2 linked regions of the Stegostoma tigrinum genome follow. The protein of the gene in region 1 interacts with the protein of each later gene in a pairwise test. Links are inferred from orthologs where the notes say so. Each region holds a gene or a part of one and is shown on either strand. Other genes may lie near its edges. The genes, in order: protein FAM118A-like and atox1.

Region 1 (9,425 bases):
ATTTTGGGAACAGTGATCATAATTCAGTCAATTTTAAGATTGTTGTGGATAAGGATAACACTGGTCCTTGGGTGAAAGTACTAAAATTGAGGAAGGCTAATTACAACAGTATTAGGCAGGAATTGGAGAATTAGATCGGGAGCGACTATTTGAGAGTTAACCCACATCTGATATGTGCGAGTCTTTTAAAGGCCATTTGATGAGAGTTCAGAACCAGCATGTTCCTGTGAGGATGAAATACAAGGATGGCAAGATTCAAGCACGATAAATGACAACAGATGTTGAAAGCTTAGTCTAAAAGGGTAAAGAAAGCATAAGTAAGGTTTAAGAAACTGAAATCAAACAAGACCCTTGAGGGAGCAGAAAAGAACTTAAACAAGGAATTAGGAGAACTAGAAAGGGCCATGAAATGGCCTTTGCAAGTAGGAATAAGAATAAGGAGAGTCCAAAGGCATTTTATACATATATTACGAGAAAGAGGCTAAGTGGAGAAAGGGTAGATTCAGTCAAGGAGAAAAGAGTAAACTGGTGCAGAGTAAGAGAAAGTGGGTTACGTCCTTAATGAGTAATTTACATCGGTGTTCACAAGTAGTAAAAGGATGATGGGCAACATTGATGTGCTGGGGTATGTCGATGTTAAGCGGTAGTGTTGGGTAACTTGAAAAACTCCGAGATAGATACGTCCCCACAGCCTTACAGGATTTATCCTATGATACTGACAGAGGCAGGTTAGAAATTGCTGAGGTCTTTGGCTATTTTGTGACCCCACCTATGGCTAATATTCTTCCTTTGTGAAGGACAACGGGGTTACCACATGAAATTATAGATCATTGAGTCTTACATCATTGGTAGGGAAATTACTGGAAAGCAATTCTTAAGGACAGGATTTACTTGCATTTGGGAAAGAGTCGACTTATTAGGGATAGCAATGGCTTTGTGCAGGGGAGATCTTGTCTCTCAAACTTGAGGAGTTCTTTTGTTGAAGTGACAAAGTTGATTGATAAGAATGGGGTAGTGAATGTTGTCAACATGGATGTTACTAAATGTATCAACAAGGTCCTTCATGGTGGGCTGGTCCAGAAGATTAAGTTGCATGGGATCCATGATAATATCGCAAATTGGATACAAAATTGGCTTGGTCAAAGAAGACAAATAATAGTCATGTTTTTGGGGGAGGGGTGGTGGGGGAGCTTTTTATGAGTGGAGTTCTCTGACAGGTGGTGTTTCGCAAGGATCAGTGTTGGGAATTTGGTTGTTTGTAATATATGTAAATAGCTTAGATGAATATGTAGACTGTCCAATTAGTAATTTTGCGGACGTGCAAAATTGGAGTTGTGGACAATGAGGAAGTTTATCAAGGGATACAACCGGCTACAGATCAGTTAGAAAGCTGGGTGAAGAAACGACAGATGGAGTTTAATCTGGAGCAAAAAGACAGTTGCTGGAAAAGCTCAGCAGAACTGGTAGCATCTGTGGAGGAGAAAAAAAAGTTAGCGTTTCGGGTGCGGTGACCTTTCCTCATTTTACAGCATCCGCAGTTCTTTTGGTTCTTATTAGAGTTTAATCTGGACAAGCTGAGGTGATGTATTATGAAAAGTCAATGCAAGAGGAAACTATACAGTAAATAGCAGGACACCCAGGTGCAAAGGGATGTAGAGATCCAAGTCCATAGCTTCCTGAAAGTGATTTTTTTGATCACGGTCACGTTGCTGTTTGTGGAATCTTTTCATGCATAATTCGGCTATGTTTCCTATATTACCAGTTTTGGGAAGAAGTTTTGTTCTGGAAATAATATTGAATCTTCATTAAGATTTGAGATTATAAGGATATTGCTGGGATAAACAGACTATCTTGAATTCAAAACATTTTGCAGGTGCTTGCACTGAAATCTTTATAGCCTTTTTTGTCTAATCCAATACAATTCAATTTTTTTTGTTTAATAAACATGTTACATGGTCAAAGAACACTTGCAGATTCGTATAAATGTGTTCAGCAACTGACTTACATAGTTAAAAAGGTTACAGGTTACCAACCCTGGGATATGACTTGTTGAGCATTAACATCAGCTCGGATCATAAGAGTCTGAAAAAATATGGAGCGTGGGAGGAAGCACGTGAATTATACCTATCAAAAGCATATTCACATTGTCATTTTTTTTCCATATTCACTTTGAAGGCAAGAACAAAATAGTTCTAAACTCAGTAATTTGAGTAACTTGATTTCTCAGCAATTTAAGGGTGGATGCACCAAACTTGCTCACCTGAATTAGCTTATGTTGTAACATATTTCAAGTGAAGATTAAATCTAACTTAAAATGTGACGAACAAATCGTACACCAAGATATCACATTTCCAATTATGACAAGGAAAACTTGACCAAATGGTCATAAATCAACAATGTTTCTCTCTGTCTCCAGTCTTGACATCATATTCAAGTAGTTTAATATCATTTTCAATTGAAAAATTCACACTAAAAAGTAAAGCTTCATCTCAGATCATAAACATCAACACAATACACATATGCTTATGGTGGGCAAGTGGTGACAGTGGCAGTGTTAAATTCAGAGTTCAAATCCACAATAGCTGCTGATAAATTTAAAGTTAATAAATAAATGCGAAATAAAAAAAAACAGTAAAGGTGGCTGTCACAACTATTCATTATTGATTGCTTCAAAGAAAATCTGTCACCCTTACTTTATCCAACCTCATGTAACCCCAGTCCCTCATTAATGTGGCAGGATCTTAACTATGCGAGCCAGCCACTCAGTTCAAAGCTCCCTCTGCATCCCAAAACCAGCCCAGCTTGCCCCAGCCTCCATATCCTGTTCTTTCTCTCACCTATCCCCTCCTCCCAGCTCAAGCCACACCTCCATTTCCTATCTACTAACCTCATCCCACCCCCTTGGCCTGTCCGTCCTCCCCGGACTGACCTATCCCCTCCCTACCTATACTAACCTCTACAGGCTCCATCCCCGCCCCTTTAACTTGTCTGTCTCCTCTCCATCTATCTTCTCCTCCATCCATCTTTGATTCACCTCCCCCTCTCTCCCTATTTATTTCAGAACCCTCTCCCCATTCCCTTTTTCTGATGAAGGTTCTAGGCTCAAAACATCAGCTTTTGTGCTCCTAAGATGCTGCTTGGCCTGCTGTGTTCATCCAGCTCCACACTTTGCTATCTCAGACAACAAAAGCTGGTTTTGCCAGACATGCCCATACCCCAAAAAGGAATTTTTGAAAACTGCTCACATAAAAAAATAATTAACTAGTACAAGAAAAGGCGGTCACCTGATTAATTTCCTTTACGATGTTTAGCTTTAAATAGGGTAGGCAATGGCCTAGCGGTAACATCACTAAACTAAAAATCCAGAGACCTAGTTAGTGTCTTAGGGATCTGGATTTGAATCGTGCCGTAGTAAATGGTAGAATTTGAATTCAATAATAATCTGGAAAGCAGGGCCCATTGGTGATGCTGATGCAGATTGTCAGGAAAAAAACCCATCTGGATCACTAATTACCTTTCGGTAAGGAAATCTACCATCCCTACTTACAGACAAAGGCAACGTGGTTGTTTCTTAACTACCCTCTGGGCACTTAGGGATGTGTAATAAATGCTGGTCTAGCTTTAGATGCCCACAACCCACAAAGGAATGTAAAAAACCTCTTTCACATCATGACAATGCATTCTTAACTCATTATGCAAATTGTTACAAAGAACTCCTGACTTTTCTCCCCCATGCTCAATGTATTAAAATTATTTTGCAGGTTCCTAATTGACTTAATTATTTCCAGAACAAAAAGCTAAGCAACTCTGTTTGTAAAATCTAATTTAGCTTGATCTAATCATTACATCCTTCATTTTTTTTTGACTTTAGTAAAGTCATGCACTACAGACTTTGGCTATCTCACCAAGGAAGATTTATTTTAAATTTTGTGTTCTGCACTAATCATATCACTCCTTTTGCTGTAAGTCATATTCATTTCCATTGTTGGGTATTTACCTGGACTTCTGCTCAAGGTTTTGAGAAGGATGAACTAAATCCATGTGCACCTGAAAAAAAAACATTTTGTTCACATATCAACACAAAACTTAGCCCACTGTCAGTGCTCCAAAATAAAAATACAGACGGTGAAAATTTGAAATCAAAGCAGAAACGTTGCTAACACTCAATGCAGAGAGAGAAAAGGAGAGCGAGCAGAGGAATACATAGAAACATACGGGATTTCTGGAATTGCTTACTTTCAAAGCTTCCTTTCTGGCGTGGGAGGAGGTTATCCCCTTTGCATTCTCAGCTGTTTCTTCTTCTTTCTTTCACCCTCCCACCTAATTCTTCTTCAGTGAATTAGATGTAGAAAAAGGGCTTCTTTGGGGTAAAGGCAATCAGCCATCTCACCTGGTTGGCTAGCTTGTGAAACTTCCAGTTCTTGAACAGGTGCCCTTATTTTCACTAGGTTCAGAGGATGCTCCCCACTTTGTTCAAACAGTTTAAATTAAGACTCTTCTCCCTCTCGCCCATCTAACCTTTTTATGTTTGAAATTTTAACCTTCTCTATCTGATCAGAATGTTTACCAGGGCTACCTTGTCTGTTTTGGTTCTAAACTTAGCTCTGGTTCTCCAAAATCAAACGTGAGGATTGTCCTCTAGCAAACTGAAAATGAGCAATGCCCATAAACTGTTCCAATTTATTTCACTCTGCTCTAAAAACCCATCGGCCTTGACAGTGAACATTTGTTTACACTGTAGTTTACAAGAGACCTTTAATGGCATTACTAAAATTAAATAATCAGGATTGACTCAATCCCTAGATAACAAGGTGTAGAGCCAGATGAACACAGCAGGCAAAGTAGCAGAGGAGCAGGAAAGCTGACATGTCTTCAGAAAGAAGGGTTTAGGCCAGAAACATCAGCTTTCCTGCTCCTCTGATGCTGCTTGGCCTGCTGTGTTCATCTGGCTCTACACCTTGTCATCTCAGATTCTTCAGCATCTGCAGTTCCTACTATCTTTGATTCAATCACTACTTCTGATTACATTCATTCATTTGTGGGTTCAATGCCAGACTCGAGTGCCCAAATATTTGTTCCTGTCGGGAAGAGTGTTCCAAAGACTGACATTTGTGGGGAAAAAATAAGTTGCTTTCTCACTGTCCATTCAAGTGGGCAATCTCGTGCTTCAATGGTAATCCGTAGTTCTAGACTCTCTTGTAAAAGAAAGCATCCTCTCCACATCTCTTCTGTCAGGAAGCCTTATGACTTTTTTTAAAAAGCCAGATTGCTTCTTATTCTGCTAACATTTTAATAGGTATAAGCCTATGCTGTCCAACTGTTCACATCAGCTATTAGTTCAGTAAACCATCTTTGAACTGCTTTCAATGAATGTCATCCTTCTTTAAACAAAGGTGATCAAGAGTACCCCATATAATAAGCATAACTTCCTCCCTTTGTATTTAATTTCCTTGCAATGAATGATAATTGTATTAGCTTTCTTAATTTTCTGTTATAGCATACGTATAGAAGGTTAGGAAAATGGAGTGGAGGATCATTACATCAGCTATGATCTCATGGAATATGTTTCACTAATGAGCCAAATGGTCTAATTTTGATCATACAGCTTATTTTCCTACTGTTTTTGCAGTTCTTGCCAGCTCTCTCTTCTATTCTAATTTTTCCCTCTTTTTGGTCATTATTTCTAAAATATTTCAATCTTCATCCTATCACTTAACTTTGTATCATTGCATATCTTTTGTTTCAATTTGATAACACCCTTAATTTTCTTAGATTGCCAAAAATGTTGTGTCTCTCAGTCTTTGTTTCTCAATGGAAAATATGTTTGTTCAGAGTTTTGAAATATCTCCATAAACGTTTGTCACTTATCTCCTTTCAACCTATTTCCGAGCATTTATTTGCATTTATGAATCCCAGTTCTCAGGATTCTTACATAAATGATATACCTGTATAGTGAAGAAACTATGAATTCTGTTTTATTACACATTGCCCAGTATAAAATTGGCTGCTACCTGAATTGATCTGGAATGTATTAAAAGAAACACTGCCCTGAATACACTATGAGTTCATCGCCCAAACTATTTTTGCTGATTTCATTCTTCCGATCCGCAAGATGATTCAAATTGCCAAGTGGTAACATTTTTCTTACAAGTTTTCATCATGTTTTTATTTTTAATCAGGCCTACAATGTATCTATTGTTATGGCATAAACAATTCCAATAGGTAACTTTTTTTGCTGTTCCTTATTTCCATACAAACCAATTCTAAATCACGTTCCTCCTAAAGTAAAATAATTGCTCACTACTATCCTGATCTCATTCATTTTTTTTAAAAACAGATTTACCCCATTCCTTATATTTAGTGAAGCTCAGGACTCAGATGAGATCAGTTCATAACCTCAACTTGTAGTGGCAGTCACATCATGCTAATCTGTTTCTATTAGTGCCATCATTTCATCCAACCAGTGACAAATGAAGCATGCATTCAGATTAAGCACATTTAATTCTGAAACAAAAAACAAAAATTACTGGAAAAGCTCAACAGGTCTGGCAGCATTTGTGGACAGAAATCAAGAGTTAACATTTTGGGTCCAATGGCAGCTGGGAAAATGTTGGTTTTTATGCAGAAGACAGCGTTGGGCAGGGAGTACAAAGTAAAACAGTAGGTGGAGAGAGAGTCCAGAGAGGAGAGGACAATTGAACCAACAACAGAGTAGATAGCAACCAGGTTATGAGGATGTATAGCTGTTAATAGGGATTGTTCATGGCTAACAATGGGTTATGTGTAATAGTAGACCATGTGACAACAAGGCCTGGTATATGGGGGGTTGGGGTATGGACATGGGAGAGCTTAAGCCCGGAAATTGTTGAACCTGAGTTTCTAGAAGGGTGTAGAGTTCCCAAGCAGAAAAATGAGGTACTGGTCTTCCAGCTTGCACTGTAGAATCCATAAGCTCCACAACTTTGCTGGAGCACTACAGCAAGCCTGAGACAGAGATGTTGGCAGGTACAAGGTTGTGTGTTGAAGTGGCAGACAACTGGAAACTCAGGGTCTGTTTTGCGATAGATGTTCTCCGAAGCAATCACCTAGTCTATGCTTCATTTTGCCATTGGTGACATTGTGAATAGCAAATGGAGTAAACTAGATTAAAGTGCAGGTAAAGCACTGCTTCATATGGAAAGTGCATCTGGGCCCTAAAAACCGTGAAAGGAGGAAGTAAATGGACAGGTGTTACATCTTTTATAGTTGCAGGGGAAAGTGCCATGGGACTGTGGGGGAGAATTTGGGAGTGAAGGAGGAGTGGACCTGGGTGTCTTGGAGGGAATGGTCCCTGAGGAAGGCTAACAAGGGAGGGGAGGGGAGGGGAATGTCTGCCTGGAGATGGTGGTCTTAGTGGCTAATGATCCTCTGGATGTGAATGATGGGGGCTTAGTTGGTACGAATAAGGGAAACCCTACCACGGTTGTGGGAGAGGGGATGAGGGCCGAAGTGTGGGAGATGTGTTAGACCCAACTGAGGGCCTTGTCAACTACGGTGTTCGGGAATCCGCAGTTGAGAAAGAAAGTGGATATTTCAGAGGTACCTATGTCAAAGTTGGCATCATCGGAACAGATGCAATGCAGACAGAGGAATTGGGCGAATGGAATAGAAGCTTGACAGGAATTCTGTCCTTTTACTATTTTTCCAGGTGCACTCTTCCATTTGTACACTCTGTGCCCTCGTGTCACATAGTGAATACAAAAGTCAGGAGATAACGATTACTATATGGAGCATGATTGCCATCCTTCTTTAACAAAGGTGACCAGTCATTGGAAGCAGTTCAGTGAAGGTTTACCAGACAAATATGTGACAATGAATAGGTTGGACAGGCTAGGCTTGTGCTCATTCCCCTGAATAGAACCTTGTGCTATTGCCAAATGATAGTATTTTCCCAAGCATTTTGGTAGCTTTTCGGGGCAGATTTGGCACATATTTTGGAGAGATGATTACTAACCATTTCTTACTTTGGATAGTCTCTTAAAAAAGACAGTTTTTAATTTCTACATAAAGTAGAATCCATAAGAGCATCCAAGCAGGTTTTTTCCTCTTTCTTTCATACATATGTGTAATTTGGCTTTCAAGAATCCCCAATAACTGAGATTTAAATTTTAGTCAATTCATCACTTTTCCTTTCCTATGCGCAATTTAACTTTTCAGTCAGCCTAGTACGAATAATGCAGCATAGTGAACCTCTTAATACTCACACCACCACATTGATGTTAATCCACAGATGGACATACATGGCAAAAACACATGTTCTGGACTAAAAGTTTGTAAAAAAAAAAATTCTCAGATCACCTTTACATTCTATTCACTTGTAAGAATAAAGGCCATTCTTGACAGTCAAAAACATAAAACTCACTTTATCCATATACGTGTGTCGGTTTATCCCTATTCCCTTTTCTGTCCCTGTACAAAAGTCAAAAGATAATTAAAGGTGAGGAAGGTAACTTATCCACTTCAATTCACCTATTCAAAAAGATGTCATTATATGCAAGTATAATAGTGAATTGCTTGTCCATTGATTTGAGTATTTATTTTCAGGAAGTTTATTCTATAATCCACATTTGATCATGTTTTGCATGACAAAATTTCCTAATATGCATTTTAAAGACTATGTTTGTCTAGTATGAACTACCCGAGTCTCTGCAGTACTCAGTTAACCAAACCCAGTAATCCCAGGTCCTGCTCCGTTGAACACAATTCGACTAATACTTGTTCTTTCTTACCTTTTAGTTAGCTGTTTAATCCATTCCTAAAGATTATATTAAATCCCATACATTGAATTTAATTAACTACATGTGGAATTTAGTTCAAAGTTATAGCAAGTACATCAAATTACAATCCAAACTATCATCTCAAATATTTAAGGAGCTCATCTGAAAAGAAGCTTTAAAATCAAAATATTTTTAATTATTCACATATCCTAAATGCAGTCAGGTGCTTTTATTAGGTCTCGATAGAAAGTTTTCCTATGAACTGAACAGCAAGCTGGCAGCTATTTGTTTCTCCTTGTGTATTGAAACAGCTTTGATAATGTCCTCTGCAAGACTCCTTCTGTCTCAAGAGTCATTTTGAGATGATGATTCTATTCAGGGGCTAGAGCCACAGTTTAAATGAGGAGTGCCCCCTGCTTAAATTCTAGAAAAAGAAGGCAGCCACATTTCCCTTTGAAAAGAAGGGCACACACCTAACTCCCTGCATCTCTGTGAAGGGCAAGGACCTGCAACAAAGAGTCCAGGCACCTCATACCCCTTCATTTTTGCCAATATAATACTAAGTTCATGGACACGGCTATAGCACGGAGGCCTGTGTCAATCACTAGCATCTAATTAGAGTTCTGCCAGAGCTATTTTTCATTCACACTCACTAGTCGCTGAGAAGAA
Region 2 (9,595 bases), on another chromosome or scaffold:
ATGAAGGGCAAAATCATGGATGCAGGGATAGTTTTAGCATTTCAAAGACATTGAATAAGTACATGAATAAGAAAAGTTTGAAGGGATATAGGCCAAGCTCAGGCAGGTGGGCCCAGTCTAGTTTGGAATTATGGATGACGTGGACTGATTGGATTGAAATCTCTGTTTCTGTTCTGTATGACTCTGGTAGTAAACCTTGCTGATGTCTTTGGCTTGCCACTGGGCTGAGAAGCTGAGAGGAAATAAAAAGAGAAGAGGCCAACTTTTTCAAGGAGCAGTAATCTCTTGCACCAGATCATTTTACTCAGACTTTATTTTATGGTAGAATTTCTGACATGAGATACCAGTCAGGACTTCTTCAGTAATATGGAGCCATCTTCCAACCTCACAGTGTCAGGGGAAGGCAAGTCTTTTTTCAGCTGTCAGTGCCATATTCTGAAATGTAAAAATCCAGAATCACAGACAGCCAGTTTGACACTGCTGGCTAAAGGAAAGTACGTAAGGTATGTGTGGCCTTAGGGCGTCAGAGGGTAAGGTGCCAGCTTTTTAGGGAACAGGACACCAGGTGGAGAGGGTGCCAAATAGTACGAGGTAGCATGCCAGGACGGTAGGGGATAGGGTGTCAACAAGTAACAAATAAACAGATGGATAGGCTATCACACAAGTAGGGTGCTCAGGCGCAAATAAGTGACAAATAAGGTGGTTTAGGATGGGTGGGTAAAACTGGATATTGTGGTGTTGGAAAGACATCAAGTCCTGGGGTGGGTAGTGTTGTCGGGTTCTGGTGTAAGAAATGGTGTTGGGTCAGGATCTGGGGTGGGAGTGGTAAAGGATCAGGGAGATGTGTTGTTGGAACGTGCAAGGTGAGTTGGGGGGGGATGGGTAGTCAGTTAAAAAGCTAACTTAGAAGTTAGACGAAGTCTAACAGTGGCTTTTTCTGGAGCAGGGTCTCGTCAGTGCCTGGTTATCTCTGTAGCCACAAGAGATCATCCAATGTGTTTTCAGTTGCCTTTTCCCTGCTTTGAACATTAATAGTTTGAGGTTGTGTCTTTAGGTTTGACTTTCCATGGGTCACTCCATTGCCAAACAATGCTTCATTTACATCAGCGGCCATTTTTGGCAGTATGACCCCTCTTCTGAAGACACAATTACAAGGAAACTGCCCATCATACTTTGGGGTTCTGAGCCATGTTCATTGCTGAAGAGGTATAATCAGTTTAAGTTAGATAAAGTTTAACTTTTCAGTCATTTTCTAAAAACAAATAGGAACCACTTGTTGTGCAAAGGCAGCACACAGAGTGTAGGAGTTATACTATCAGTCAGACAAAAACAGCCCTGAGTGAAATATAAACAATGCCTGTGAAATCTGTGAGAAAATGGTAGATGATACAATATTATAAAAACAAAGAACTGCAGATGCTGGAAATCTGAAACATGAACAGAAAATGTTGGAGAAACGCAGGGCCAGTTTGAGTCTAGTGACCCTTCGTCAGATAGTGTAAGATATATGTGTTGTAATGGTTTGTATAAAGTTTAGAGGTGTAAATGGTTCTCTTTATGTATATGTGAAAATCAACAATCTTTGACCTGATTTCCTGTGAACTCTTATTGCTTTGGCAAGCTGTCCAATAAGAATGACAAACACATCATCAAGCTAAAGCCAGTAAGAGTCAGAAGTACACTCACACCACAAGAAGATCTAGAACAACAACTTACATTCATATAGTGCTTTTAGATTTTAAAACAAACCAAACTGCTTTATAAAGGCATTGTCATCAAAAATTGATGCCAAGCCACATATATGTTGGCCAAAAGCTTCTTCAAAGCAGTAAATTTTATGGTACATCTTAAAGAGAGAAGGAATGGTAACAAGGTTGAGAGATATAGGATGAGTGCAGCCCCAACAACACTCAAGAAGCTTGACTCCATCCAGGAAAAACGAGCCCGTTTGATTGGCACTACACCCACAAGCATTCACTCCCTCCACCACCGACACCCTGCAGCAGCAGTGAATACTATTTACAACATGCACTGCAGAAATTCACCAAAGATCATCAGACAGCACCTTCCAAACCCACCACCACTTCCATCTAGAGGGACAAGGGTATCAGATATATGAGAACACCACCACCTCAAAGTTCCTCTCCAAGCAACTCACCATCCTGACGTGGAAGTGTGTTGCTGTTCCTTCACTGTCGCTGGTTCAACATCCTGGAATTCCCTCCCTGATAGCATTGTGGGTCAACCCGCAGAAGGAGGACCGCAGCGATTCAAGAAGGCAGCTCATCACCACCTTCTCAAGGGCAACTACTGATGGGCAAGAAATGCTGCCAGCCAGCAATGCTCACATCCCACAAATAAATAGGAAAAAAAGGTAGTGTGGGAATTCCAGAGCTTAGGGTCCAGTGCTGGTGTGATAAAAAATGGGGATGTGGAAGTAGCCATAATCGGAGGAACAGAGAGATATTGGAGAAGTGAAGAACTTGAGGGGAAATATTGAGAGAGATAGGGTTAAAGTCATTGAATAATTGAAAACAATGGCAAAAATCTAAAATTTCTAAGGCTGCAAGGACAGAAATCCATGTAGGTCAACTAGCACAGAGCTGATAGATGAACAGTACTTTGTGCCATTTAGAATATGGGAGCCACTGTTTTGAATGACCATTCTACTTTGGTTGCATAAGACCTATCTGTAACATCAAGTGGTAGGACAAGATCGCTGACACTCAAATTTCTTTGCAAGGTACATGTTCACCAGAAAGCAGCTTTGCTGAAACAACTATGCAGTACACACGGAATTGTCCTGTGGTATTCTTCAGCCAGCTGGGCACAGAAACCCACACCACAGGACATTCCAAACCTAGACGCAAAGACATCCTTGAAGTCAATCTAAGACCCTGTACCTTGGATAACCCAGTTTCCTCCCCAGGAGGAGAAACAACCCCAGATCTTTACACCATCAAGCAATAAAGAAGAGCCATAAAAACATTTTTTCTTCCAAACTAGAACCTCAATCCAATGTCCCTTCAAATAGTAACAAGCCTACATTCTGGAAATCACCCATACTCTGGGATTCATTCCAGCACTGACAGGTCAACACACAGCTTAGGACAAAGGAACATTGAAATATTTCCTTTAGCTCCCCCCGAGCGGTGTTGTCTTAATACTGCTCACAGCCATAAATGACAACAAACTCTATGTTTAACTAACTCACCCACATTAAAGCAAGATTTTGCAGAAGCTGGAAAACTGAGAAGAACACAGAAAATGCTGTAGAAACTCAAAAAAATTGTCTTTTGATGTGTTATGTCAGTTCCAAGATTTCCAGTTTTCTGGCCCTAGCCACCTCCTTTCCTCTATGGATGAGAAATTCTTCTACACATCCATTCCCCCATCAGGATTAGCTGTGAGGTCTCTGCTTCTACCTTGAAAAGAGATCTGCATTGCCTCCATTACTGCCACCCTCCATCGCTTGGCTGGGCTTGTTCTCACTTAATTTCTCCTTCAACTCATCTCATTTTCTCCAAGTCAAACATGTGGCCATGGACCCCTGCATGGGTCCCTGGCGAGCCTGTCTCTTTGTGGGGTATGTGGAACACTCCTTGTTCCAGCCCTACTCAGGCTTCCACCCACAAGTCTTTCTCTGGTACATTAATAGTATCTTCCTGCTATTGCCTGGAATTTGAAAAAAATGTCTTGCTTCCAATTGCCATCTTTCTCACACCTCCACCTGCATCTGACTCTTTCCTTCCCTCACTTGACTTCAGTGTTTTCATTTCTGTGGATGAGCTGTCCCCCAGGTATCCACTACAACCCATTGATTCTCAGTGAAGGTTATCTAAGATTGCAAAGAGGTCTTGATCAATTGGGTCAATGGGCTGAGGAATGGCAGATGGAGTTTATCTTAGATAAATGTGAGGTATTGCATTTTGTTAAAACAAAAAGGGCGGGACTTACAAAACTAATGGGAAAGCCTTGGGCTGTGTTGTCCAGCAGAGACTTAGGGGTTCAGGTACATAATTCTTTGAAATTTGCTTCACAGGTAGACAGGGTGGTTAGGAAGGCATTTGCGTGCTTGCCTTCATGGCTCAGACCATTGAGTGTAGGAGTTGGGAATGGTATGTTGAGGTTGTGCAGGACATTGCTGAGGACTCGTCTGGAATACTTTGTGCAATTGTGGCCACCCTGTTACAGGAAGGACATTATTAAACTGGAGGGTTCAGAAAAGATTTACCAGGATGTTGCCAAGGATAGAAGGTTTCAGTTGTAGGAATAAGCCAGGTTAGGCTGGAACTTTTTTCACTGCAGCACAGGAAGTTTGGGGGTTGGGGGTGACATTCGCCTCTAATTGAGTTGTGGGTCTGAAGTATAGCCCGCGGGCTCCGCCTAGTGAGGGATCGCTGCGTTGCGTGTTTGGATTGGGGGGGGCCGGGCGCTCCTCCTAGCGGTGGCTGGCTGCGTTGCAAGTCGGGGTGGAGTGTCAGGTCGCCGGTTTGTGAGACGTCAAAGGCTCCGCGGGCTCCCCGTAGCGGCGAATCACTGGGTTGCCAGACAGCGGGTGGGCCCACGGGTTCCCCCTAGTGGCGGATCGCTCGGTTGCATCAGAGATAATGGGAACTGCAGATGCTGGAGAATCCAAGATAACAAAGTGTGGAGCTGGATGAACACAGCAGGCCAAGCAGCATCTCAGGAGCACAAAAGCTGACGTTTCGTGCCTAGACCCTTCATCAGAAAAGGGGGATGGGGAGAGGGTTCTGGAATAAATAGGGAGAGAGGGGGAGGCGGACCGAAGATGGAGAGAAAAGAAGATAGGTGGAGAGAGTATAGGTGGGGAGGTAGAGAGGGGATAGGTCAGTCCAGGGAAGATGGACAGGTCAAGGAGGTGGGATGAGGTTAGTAGGTAGGAGATGGAGGTGCAGCTTTAGGTGGGAGGAAGGGATGGGTGAGAGAACCCACTGCATCCCAAAACCAGCCCAACCCGTGCTTCCTCTCACCCATCCCTTCCTCCCACCACAAGCCGCACCCCCATCTACCTACTAACCTCATCCCACCTCCTTGACCTGTCCATCTTCCCTGGACTGACCTATCCCCTCCCTACCTCCCCACCTATACTCTCTCCACCTATCTTCTTTACTCTCCATCTTCGGTCCGCCTCCCCCCTCTCCCTATTTATTCCAGTTCCCTCTCCCCATCCCCCTCTCTGATGAAGGGTCTAGGCCCGAAACGTCAGCTTTTGTGCTCCTGAGATGCTGCTTGGCCTGCTCGGGTGCGTGCCAGGTTTTTTTTGGGGTGGGGGCGCTGGTTCCCCCTAGCGGCGGATCGCTGGTTCCCCCTAGCGGCGGATCGCTGGGTTGCGAGTCAGGCGGGTGGGCCCGCGGTCGCCCCCTAGCGGCCCTATTTGTGCCGGTGAATGGGCAGTTGCGCATGCGCCGAGGTGACAGCCGGTTGTGGACGAGGTTGGGAGCAGGAGCAGAGAGGCGGAGACCCCGGAGTCATCATGGCGGTGAGGCGGAGGGGGAAGTTGTGGGGGTGTGTGGGCTCGAAGCCCGGGGTGGGGTCCACGCAAACACCGCGCTTGTCACGGGGACCCGCGCTCTGGATCAGTACGGCCTGAGCGATTGTTTGTATTTCCTAGCGGTTGGACCATCCTTCCCCCCCCGGAGCTGGGGCCTTTCCCTCGCCCGTCCGCCTGGGCTATGAGTACAGCTGGCTGTTCGGCTACAGGAGGCGTATTACACCCTTGCCGAGTCCCCGGTCTAGCTGCTCCCGCGAAATGGCGCAGCAGAAAGTGTTTGCATTCCCAGAGATGTTTCGAGGCTAATTTTTTTTTAGGGCACAACCTTTTTGCAAGGCTGATGACAACAAATGGTCTGGGGTTTTGTGGGGAGGGGTGGGGGGAGAACTTGATACACATTTTCTGTCGAATGCATTGAGACCAGTTTGGATTTTGTCTCAGAGAGGGTAGGAGAGGTGAATCACAGGGTTGTAAGTTACTCTCCAAAAACTGAATGCAAAATCTGGGCCGGTACTTCGGTGCAGTACTGAGGGAGCGCTGCACTGGAGGATGGGCATTCCTGATTTCAGACAAAGAGTTACATCAAAGTCCCACCTCTGGCAAGAATGTGCAAGGTCTCATGGCACTATTTGAAAATGTTTCTCTCTACGCAATTCAGTCGATAAGCTCAAGAACAGAAGTTGCTGGAAAAGACTCAACAGGTCTAGCAGCACCTGTGCAAACAAAGTTTAACTTTTGGGTCCAATGACCCTTCTTCAGACCTTCGGTGTTTAGTAGAAGAGTTACTGAACTTGAACGTTTAACTCTGCTTTCTATGTCCAGATGCTACTAGACTTACTGAGTTTCTCCAGCAACTTCTGTTTTTTTTTTCAAAATTTCCAGGATCAGTTTTTTTTGGTATCTTTGATTCAGTAGGTACGGTGGTCAGTTCTGATGAAGTCTCAGGGGATTCAAATGTTCACTTTAGTGGCATGGGATCCTTTGTATGAGGCAAATGAGCTCAGAGCATGGATTGGCTGTGGGGACTGGGATATTATAGTCATAACAGAAACATGGCTAAGAGAAAGGCAGGATCGGCAGCTCAATGTTCCAGGATACAGAAGCTGCAGAGTGATAGAAGTACAAGTGAGGAGGGGGAGTTGCCCGTTTGATACGGGAGGACATAACAACAGAGCTTAGAGAACATATTCTTAAGGGGGTCATTAGATGATACCAAATGGTTTGAATTTAGAAACAAGAAGGGGATGCTCACTTTGTGACTTGTTATAGACCCCCAAATAGACAGCGGATACTAAAGGAGCAGATGTGTAGAGAGATTGCAGATGCACGTAGGAATAATAGAGTAGTACCGATTGGAGACTTTATTTTCTCCTGTATTGACCCAGAAGGTAAAAAGCCTGGATGAGGTGAAATTTGACAGATGTGAACAAGAAAGTTTCCTAAGTGAATATTTAGAGGGCCCTACTCGGGAGGGTGCAACACAGGAAATCCTCTTAGAAAACAAGGTCAGGCAAGTGACTGAAGTGTCAATCAGAGAGCACTTTAGGTCCATTGACCATAACTCTCATACTTATGGGAAAAGATAGAACAGGTCCGCAGGTTAAGGTGCTGAACTGCAGCAGGGCCAGTTTTGGAGCTATTAGGCAGGATCTATCAGAGGTCGATTGGGTGAGTCTGTTTGAAGGAAAAGGAACCACTACCAAATGGTAGACCTGGATGAACACAGCAGGCCAAGTAGTATCTTAGGAGCAGAAAAGCTGACATTTCGGGCCTAGATCCGTCATCAGAAAGGAGGCGGAGGAGGGGGAGGCGGATCAAAAATGGGTAGAGGAGAAGATTGGTGGAGAGGAAACAGACAAGTTAAAGAGGCAGGGATGGAGCCAGTAGAGGTGAGTGTAGGTGGGGAGGTAGGGAGGGGATAGGTCAGTCCGGGGAGGATGGACAGGTTGAGGTTAGTAGGTAGGAAATGGGGGTGTGGCTTGAGGTAGGAGGAGGGGATAGGTGAGAGGAACAGGTTAGGCAGGCGGGCACGAGCTGTGCTGGCTTTGGGATGAGTAGGGTGGGGGAGATTTTGAAGCTTGTGAAATCCACATTGATACCATTAGGCTGCAGGGTTCCCAAGCGGAATACGAGTTGCTGTTCCTGCAACTTTCGGGTGGCATCGTTGTGGCACTGCAGGAGGCCCAGGATGGACATGTCGTCTAAGGAATGGGAGGGGGAGTTGAAATGGTTCGCGACTGGGAGGTGCAATTGCTTATTGCAAACCAAGCGTAGGTGTTCTACAAAGCGGCCCCCAAGCCTCCGCTTTGTTTCCCCGATGTAGAGGAGGCCACAACGGGTACAGCAGATGCAGTATACCACATTGGCAGATGTGCAGGTGAATATCTGCTTGTTGTGACACTGATTTATAGTGATTGCATAGAAAGTTATCTCCATTTCTTTTGCCAGTTAGTGATTAGGATTTGGAGTCCACTGCCTGAAAAGATAATGAGTATGGTTTAGTAGTAACTCTCTTAGTGACCTTTATGAGTGTTTGGAGGAGAACAAAATTTCAGAGATAAGGGGAAAGAGTGGGGGAAAAGCAACTTACTACATGGCTGTTCAAAAACGTGGACATGTTTCATGTGATAAATGGCTTCCATTTATACCATAATTCTCTGGTTCTTTGTTCATCCACCTCAGTCTTGTTATTTTGAGTTTGTGAGACAACGTATATAGTGTCCGTTTTGTTTAAATATCTCCATCACATGCATAATTTGATAATTTTAATAACGGATCATTGGGATTCTGAAAACAGCAATTTTTATTTCTATCAAACCTTTAGTAAAATGTTTTAACAGAGCATTATAATCCAAGATTTGCCACAGAAGTACATGCCAGGTGATTTTTAGTGAATGACTAATAAGTTTTGTTTAAAGATCTGTGTTAAGGAAGGGAGAGCAGTTAAGAGGCCCAGTGGTTAAACTGAGAAATTCCAGGACTTGGCCACCAAGTATGTCATGATTAAAACTGATGTGATTCAAGAGGTCACAATTAGTGAAGTGAGCATATCTACTGAAGGAAGTAGGACTAGAGGAAAATCCAGAGACAGTGAGGAGCACACCCTTGGTTAGATTCAAAAATAAAGACGAAAATTTTGATTGAGTATTTTTAAATCATTGAATCTTTTGCAGAAACACGAGTTCTTCGTCGACATGACATGTGAAGGCTGCTCTAACGCTGTGACCAGAGTGCTGAATAAATTAGGAGGTGAGATTCCAAGATAGTATCAGAGATAATGGGAACTGCAGAGCTAATTTTAGTGTGAGAAATAATTCTGATAACTCTGTTATTTCATTGTGTCAGGGCAACATCAGAAAGTGGTCATTTGACCCACTTTCATTTCCCTACCTTGTATGTCCCTGAAGTCTCTCCAATTATGGCAACTATTAGGTCTGGAAAAGATTGATGTATTTGCTTCTGATCTGCCCAGTCATCTGTTCTGTATATTGATAACTTACAACACAAGAATGGAGGTTATTTTTTACCAGTCCTAAGTTTGCCTTTTACTAGTTTCTGCCTGAAAACTTGCGGTCTGTTTTGCAATTTAATTTAACTTTTGGGATTTACCTTCTATTATTTACAAGATCAACTTCATTGCTGAAAGAAATAAGATTTTCAGAATTCTGATCTCTGAACAGTCAGGATGAATTCTGTGGCCAGTCTCTTTGAAATTCCTGCATATTACAAAAGTAAGATTAGGCCTAATCAAGGGACAAAAGTAAGATTAGGCCCAATCAAGGATAGTAGTGGTAAGTTGTGTGTGGAGTCAGATGAGATAGGGGAAGCGCTAAATGAATATTTTTCAACAGTATTCACTCTAGAAAACGACAATGTTGTCGAGGAGAATACTGAAATACAGGCTACTAGACTAGGTAGGACTGAGGTTCACACGGAAAAGGTATTAGAAATCCTTCAGAAGGTGAAGATAGATAAGTCCCCTGGGCCGGATGGGATTTATCCTCGGATCCTCTGGGAATATAGGGAGGAGATTGTCGAGCCTTTGGCATTGATCTTTAACTCGTCATTGTCTACAGGAAT

The links.
Region 2: the proteins of protein FAM118A-like (region 1) and atox1 interact in binary tests that used the Homo sapiens proteins (3 or more experiments, as listed by UniProt). The two-hybrid records come from large-scale screens. The link is inferred for Stegostoma tigrinum from reciprocal best matches to the Homo sapiens genes FAM118A and ATOX1.

Annotation. Positions count from the first base shown.
Region 1 is NC_081371.1:20,274,494-20,283,918, forward strand, and holds the start of protein FAM118A-like, read right to left. Parts: upstream 4,063-9,425; coding exon 3,998-4,062; intron 1-3,997.
Region 2 is NC_081366.1:16,694,637-16,704,231, forward strand, and holds the start of atox1 (copper transport protein ATOX1), read left to right. Parts: upstream 1-5,417; 5' UTR 5,418-5,497; coding exon 5,498-5,503; intron 5,504-8,688; coding exon 8,689-8,764; intron 8,765-9,595. UniProt on the Homo sapiens protein: Binds and deliver cytosolic copper to the copper ATPase proteins. May be important in cellular antioxidant defense.